Stegostoma tigrinum: one gene and its partner. The protein of the gene in region 1 interacts with the protein of each later gene in a pairwise test. Links are inferred from orthologs where the notes say so. Each region holds a gene or a part of one and is shown on either strand. Other genes may lie near its edges.

Region 1 (3,752 bases):
CTGCCTGTCTCCCACAAGCCTACAGTCCCTTATTGATCAACAATCTGTTTAACTCGACTACTGATACATTCAACAATCCAAACTACAGTGCTCAATGGCAAACCAAATTCCACAGGTCATGGCTTTGAGAAATGTCTCCTAATTTCTGTCCTCAATGGGAAAATCCTTATTCAGAAACTATATTCTCTAGTTCTAGATTCCCCTATAAATTGAAATATCCTCTCAACATCCAGCCTGCCACGTCCCCTCAGAACTGTACAAGTATCAACAAAAGGCTGTTGACTGATAAGGTGACATTTGAGACGATTCCTTCATTTGCAGAGGATACTAGGACTACATAGGGCACAGTTTAAAATGTTGGTATTTCCCATTTTGTAGAGTCATCTGGCCGGTTAAGCCTGCCCCACCATTTAATAAGATCATGGCTGATCTTTTTGAGACTCATCTCCACTTACCCGCCCACTCACCATAACCCTTAATTCCTTTACTGTTCAAAAATTTATCTAGCCTTGCCTTAAAAAACATTCAGTGAGGTAGCTTCAACCACTACACTGGGCAGGGAATTCCACAGATTCACAACTCTTTGCATGAAAAAGCTCCTCTTGGGCCTCAGTCATATATCTGCTTCAATATAAAGGAAAGCAATGCCCTCTAGTCCTAGTTTCACCTGCTCGCAGAAACAACCTCCCTGCCTCCACTTTATCTATTCCCTTCATAATCTTGTGTTTCTATAAGATCTCTCCTCATTCTTCTGAATTCCAATGAGTATAATTCCAGTCTACTCAGTCTCTCCTCATAATCCGAACCTCTCAACTCTGGAATCAACCAAGTGAATCTCCTCTGCACCCCCTCGAGTGCTCGTATATCTCTTCTCAAGTAAGGAGACCAAACGGCCTCACCAGGACCCTAGAGAGCTGCAGCATAGCCTCCCTGTTTTTAAACTCCATCCCTTGAGCAACGGCAGACAAAATTCCATTTGCCTTTTTAATAACCCACTGCACCTGTAATCCTACTTTTAGCGATTCATGTACAAGGACACCCAAGTCCCTCTGCACAGCACCGTGCTGCAATTTTTTACCATGTAAAACATAGTCCATTTTGCTGTTATTCCTACCAAAATGGATGACTTCACACTTATCAACAGTGTACTCCATCTGCCAGACCTTTTTACCACTCACCAACTATCTACATCCCTCTGCAGACTTGCAGTATCTTTTGCACACTTTGCTCTACCGCTCACCTTAGTGTCATCTGCAAATTTTGACACACTATACTTAGTACCCAACTCTAAATCATCCATGTAAACTGTAAACAATTGCAGTCCCAACACTGTTCGCTGCGGCTCAGCACTAGCCACCGACCAAACAAAATAAAAACACCCATTTACCCCTGCTCTTTTCTTTCTACTGGTCAACCAATCCTCTCTCTATGCCAATACATTACTTGCCTTCTGGAAATCCAGATACACCACATCCACAAGTTCCCCATTGACTACCATGCAAGTAATGTCCCAAAAGAATTACACCAAATTAGTTATACGTGACCTACCCTTCATGAACCCATACTGGGTGTTCCCAATGGGACAATTTATATCCAGATGTTTTCCTATTTCTTCCTAAATGATAGATTCAAATAGACTTATTCATGAACATATTCAATTTTTTAAAAACTCTAACAGTACCTACATCCACCACTACCTCCAGAGGTTCATTTCAAACATGAACCACTCCTGGTGTGGTAAAAAAAATTGTCCCTCATGTTTTTTTTAAATCTTTCTCCTCTCACCTTAAAAGTACAACCCCTTATGTTGAAATCTCTCACCCTGGGGAAAGACACCTGCTATTGACTTTATCTACAACCCTGGTGATTTTTATAAACCTCCATGGAGGTCACCTCTCAACCTCCCACACAATCCAGTGAAACAAGTCTCAGCCAATGCAGCCTCTTCCTTATATCTCAAACCCTCCCATTCCTGGCAACATCCTGGTAGAGCTCTTCTGAACCCTCTCCAGTTTAAATAATACCCTTCCTATAGCAGGGCGACCAGGACTAGGCACAGTATTCTACAAGAGATTTCTCAGAGGGTGAAGAATCTTTGGTTCTATGACTCGCTGAGGAAGAGAATTTCAGGGAATCCCTGCAGCATGGAAGTGGTCCATTCGGTCCATCGAATCAACACCAACCCTCTGAAACAGCACTGGCCCCGCGCATGGGGACACAGCCCGCACCTAATGCGATTTCTTGTGGTTTTAAACTTGAGGGGGATGAGGGAGTTCTCCTCGGCCAACACTATCGTTAAAGGTGGGGGAGGGAACCTGCAGTCTGGGATCTTCCTGTGCACTGATTAGGGTGGGGTGAACAAACGCAGGTATCCTCTCCTTCCCACCCAGATGTCCCGTGGGAGGTTGAGATCCCGCTTACCTGAAGCCTGCAGGAGCGGGTATAATGAGAGCATTTCAGGAGCGCGCACCCAGGCTCCAACGCCGCCATTAGGCCCCGTCACCTGGAGACGAATCGCGCAGCCGCAGTGCCGCCACCCCGCCGGCAGGGTGAAGGTGAAGGCGAAGGCGCAGGCGCAGGACCGGCCGATGGCGAGGAAACCCTGACGTTGTACGCAAACGTAAAACCGGCGGCGTGGAAGAATCATGGCAATGTGCGCAAGCGCAGGGCCGACGGCGTGGCGGAACCTGTACTGTGCGCAGGCGCGGAACTGGTTACAGTGAAAATGGATACAGAAGAGGGCGGGATTGATACATTGAATGGGAGAAGATTTTAGGTGTGTTAGGCTTTATCCAGTGCTGGGGAAAGATAAGGGTTATTCCTTTAGACTTACGTCCGTGTGGATAAAAACAAGATACTGGAAGTCTAAAATAAAGTTGTGTGTGGAATATTTCAGGATGAGACAGATTAGTGGCAATAGGACCCGCAGATGCTGTAGAATCTGAAATAACACAGTGTGAAGCTGGATGGACACAGCAGGCCAAGCAGCATTTCAGGAGCACAAAAGCTGACGTTTCGCCCAAAATGTCAGCTTTCCTGCTCCTGAGATGCTGCTTGGCCTGCTGTGTTCATCCAGCTCCACACCTTGTTAGTTGAGATAGATTCGTGATCGGTCAGGGAATGATGAATAATGGGGAAAGGGCAGAAAAATGGATGTGAGGAATGCCAGGTCGACCGTGATCCTGTTGAAATTCCGCAGAGTTTTGCGGAGCCGAACAGCCTATTTGTTATCATCCTTTGGTGTTATGCTTCTAATCACCACACTGTAGGAAGGACGTGTTTGCACTGGAGGGGTGCAGAGAAGATACCGCCCCCTCGATCATGACCCCACACCCGAGCACCAAACCATCATCTCCAACACCATTCACAACCTCATCACCTCAGGGGACCTCCCACCCACAGCCTCCAACCTCATTGTTCCCCAACCCCGCACGGCCCGTTTCTATCTCCTTCCCAAAATCCACAAACCTGTCTGCCCTGGTCGACCCATCGTCTCAGCCTGCTCCTGCCCCACCGAACTCATCTCCACCTATCTGGACTCCATTTTCTCCCCTTTGGTCCAGGAACTCCCCACCTACGTCCGTGACACCACCCACGCCCTCCACCTCCTCCAGGACTTCCAATTCCCTGGCCCCCAACACCTCATATTCACCATGGACGTCCAGTCCCTGTACACCTGCATTCCGCATGGAGATGGCCTCAAGGCCCTCCGCTTCTTCCTATCCCGCAGGCCCTACCAGTCCCCCTCCACC
Region 2 (3,752 bases), on another chromosome or scaffold:
CACAGTTTTCGAGCAATTAATCACGTCTCTTAGGTGGGTTTGGGATTTATAAAAGTTTAAAATATTCCCAAGGTGAGTTCTTAGTTCCAAAATAGGTTGTGGGAAATGATTTTGTTTCCATTTCATGTAAATTCGTCAATTACCTTTTGTTTTTAAGAAATATTTGTGAAGTATAGATATATTTGACAAAGAAATCCATTCTACCCATAATAAAAACGAAATCATACCCTTCAAATGTGCAAATAATATGAAGACGTGTGATTTAAAATGGCAGTATGAGAGATTATATACTGTTGTACTAACTTGTAATGCAGTCATAATTTGACTATAACATTGTGCCATTAAATTTATTTTGAAAATTTTGACATCGATCCTTGGAATTCTTAAAAATAGAATCAGAACCCAAAAAAAACACGTGATTAAATGGTGGAAGCTGAATGAGTGAGTTGCGATTTGAAGAATCTCTTTGAGAATTTAGTGGAAGGGTTGATTCCGTAATTTGTGATATTCATAGCTGTGAGACACACTAGCCATGACGCTGTCTCAATATGATAAAAATAACTAAATGTAATTTCCTTAGTAATCGCTCCCGATAGTGATTGCCTATCCCGTTTAACTCCTAAGCTGGTCACGGTTGTTTCATAAAAATAAAATCCGAAAGAACTGTGGATGCTGTAAATCAGGAACAAAAACTAAGTTGCCGTTCTGAGGAAGGGTCACCCGACCCAAAACGTTAATTTTTTTTTCCTTCACAGTTGTTTCTTTCCGTCTGCAGCAGCTGCCAAATTGCGGTCCACATTCCACACTGGTTAACCTGGATTCCAGCATGTACGGTGTCTCTATATTTAGCCTGTGGAGTTAAATTACAAACTCTTCAAGTGCGGCAAGCCACTGCGTTCTGCCTTTTCAGGCGAACCCGAGTAAAGTGAACGCTACCCGCTCCCTCTGCCTTCGCAGTTTCCTCACCATGGACCCTCGGAAAGAATCAAGGGAAGAATCTCGGCTGTACCAAACCACGCTGCTGCAGGACGGACTGAAAAATTTACTGGATGAAAACAAATTTGTGGATTGTTCCCTGAAGGTGGGAAATAAATTATTTCCCTGCCACCGACTAATCCTGGCAGCTTGCAGCCCTTACTTCCGTGAGTATTTCTTTTCAGATGTAAGTGAGGAAAAGAAACGTGAGGTGGTTTTGGAAGATGTCGATGAAAGTGTCGTGGATATGATCTTGAAGTATCTGTATTCCTCTGAGATAGAACTGACCGATGAGAACGTGCAAAATATTTTTGCTGCGTCCAGCCGCTTTCAGATCCCCTCTGTTTTCACACTCTGTGTCACCTATCTTCAAGAAAAGTTATCTACTAGCAACTGTTTGGCGATATTCAGGCTAGGACTCCTTCTGGACTGTCCCCGGCTTGCTGTTGCTGCCCGTGAATATGCGTCCGCTCGTTTTGAACAAATCTGTAATGATGAAGATTTTATGCAACTGGCTTCTCATGAGCTTATCAGCATCATTGCGAATGACGCTTTAAACGTGGTGAAAGAAGAAACTGTATTTGAAGCTGTAGTAAGATGGGTCCGGAAGGACAAAGAGACCAGGGTCAAAAGTTTAGGAGAAATCTTTGATTGCATTCGTTTTCGTCTCATGACTGAGAAATATATCAAAGACCAGGTCGAAAAAAATGACATTATTAAGTCTAATCCAGATCTATTGAAGAAGGTGCAGGTGATTAAAGATGCTTTTGGAGGAAAACTTCCCAAGCCTGAGGCAGGTAGTAACAAGAGCGCAAAGAAAGGAGAAGGCGGTGAAGATCTAGCTAACGGCGATGTAGGAGACGAAGATCTGCTCCCTGGTTTTCTGAATGACATTCCCAGGCATGGCATGTTCGTCAAGGAAATGATCATGTTAATTAATGACACAGTGGCGGTGGCATATGATCCAAACCTAAATCAATGCTTTCTGGTTGCAGTGGGTGATCAGATCCCCAAAAACCATGTTAGTTTGGTTACAAAGGGAAACCAAATTTTTGTTGTCGGTGGGTTGTACGTGGATGAAGAAGTTAAAGAACAGCCCTACCACTGCTATTTCTATCAGGTACTCGTAGATCTATCGAACTGTGAAATCATATAATATGTTCAGCTTTGTTTCAGAAAACGTGATTGTAATTGTTAATTTAGTTCACCAATTTTCAAAATCATTCCAAGTTTACTTATTTAAAAAATGTAAGCAACTACTTCCATTTCAATGTAGTCTCTTCCCTGCTGTTTAAAAATAGATATTGTGCAAAATATGATAATTTTATGAATTGCGTGCTCCACCTCAAATTCCTATCAAATCTCATCGGATTTCTGAATACGTTTGATATAAATATATCGAGAATCGGTCACAATTAAACTGGCTTTTCCGACGCTTTAGTTTGACAGTATCGCTAGTGAATGGAATGGCTTGCCACCGCTGCCTTCAGCTAGATGCCTCTTCGGTCTGGGAGAAACAGAAAACTTTCTTTATGTGATTGGTGGCAAGGATCTTCCAAACGAGCAGTCATTGGATTCAGTATTTTGCTACGATATGAAGTAAGTAAATCCAGATTATTTGCATGTTAACAAAATGTTATTTTTAAATTATTTTGTAGCAACTTCTAACAAAATGCTGCTCCAAACCAGTATAGTTAATCAGAACCATGCTTTCACAGAAATATTGTACAGTATACCACTCAGTGCCATTACAGTTATAATTTAATACCAACAGTGAGCATATCAAATTCAGTCAGAATACAAGGACTGTCAATGAGATTATAGGTCCCGTCTAAAATAGTTTACCCTCCATTAGCTCATTTAAATAGACCTACCGTCATATTGGTTGAGTCAGTTCTGGGAACAGACTGCAATGGTAACTTGTTGCAAGGATAGTAGGAACTGCCGATGCTGGAGAATCTGAGATAACAAGATGTAGAGCTGGATGAACACAGCAGGCCAAGCAGCATCGCAGCAGGAAAGCTAACGTTTCGGGTCGAGACCCTAAGGTCTCCGCTTTCCTGCTCCTCTGATGCTGCTTGGCCTGCTGCGTTCATCCAGCTCTACACCGTGTTATCTCAGTATTGTAACTTGTATGTCATGTGACATTCACAAAGCATGATTAGAATCAGAATAGGAAAATTCGTCAGATAATGATGACCCAATATCATCTCTGTTGTTCAGTTTTTGAACAAGACACTTAGATCCCCTGTGTCCAATGTTCATTGTTTTATTAGACTTGCACATTAGAGTTTAGCTTTGAGTTCAGGTGAGTTTTCAACGAATGTAGTGTCGAAAGATTTCACGTTATTTAATTTCAATTCCAATATTGGGAAAGCCAGAGACAAGTTGCTCCAAGTTTTCATTTTCCACCACTCAGGACAATTGTATGAATGCTTCCTCTCCACAAATGCTGCAAGAACCTGCTGTGCATTTCCAAAAAAAAATCTGATTTTATGTATACACGTTGCTCAATTGTATGCAGAATGTCTTTTCAATTGACAGCAATATTATTGTCAGTGATAAATGACACTTGTACGGCCCTTGTATTTATGGCACTGTGAAATGGCTTGTTTAGGCTATTTTAAAACTTAAAGGTGTCGTTCCACTATTATTTGAGGCAATCACCTTCTGCAATTTTCAGCATATTCATGAACAAAAACGTAATTTTTAAAACAGGTAAACATTGAAGAATGATGAATACAATTTAAAAAAATGCATTTTTTTTCAGCAAACTA

What was found. The genes of interacting proteins can lie anywhere in the genome.
Region 2: the proteins of rchy1 (region 1) and klhl41a interact in binary tests that used the Homo sapiens proteins (3 or more experiments, as listed by UniProt). The two-hybrid records come from large-scale screens. The link is inferred for Stegostoma tigrinum from reciprocal best matches to the Homo sapiens genes RCHY1 and KLHL41.

What each region holds. Positions count from the first base shown.
Region 1 is NC_081354.1:2,950,193-2,953,944, reverse strand, and holds the start of rchy1 (RING finger and CHY zinc finger domain-containing protein 1), read right to left. Parts: upstream 2,539-3,752; 5' UTR 2,491-2,538; coding exon 2,422-2,490; intron 1-2,421. UniProt on the Homo sapiens protein: E3 ubiquitin-protein ligase that mediates ubiquitination of target proteins, including p53/TP53, TP73, HDAC1 and CDKN1B. Mediates ubiquitination and degradation of p53/TP53; preferentially acts on tetrameric p53/TP53.
Region 2 is NC_081360.1:50,276,856-50,280,607, forward strand, and holds the start of klhl41a (kelch-like protein 41a), read left to right. Parts: upstream 1-837; 5' UTR 838-967; coding exon 968-2,095; intron 2,096-2,416; coding exon 2,417-2,574; intron 2,575-3,745; coding exon 3,746-3,752. UniProt on the Homo sapiens protein: Involved in skeletal muscle development and differentiation. Regulates proliferation and differentiation of myoblasts and plays a role in myofibril assembly by promoting lateral fusion of adjacent thin fibrils into mature, wide myofibrils.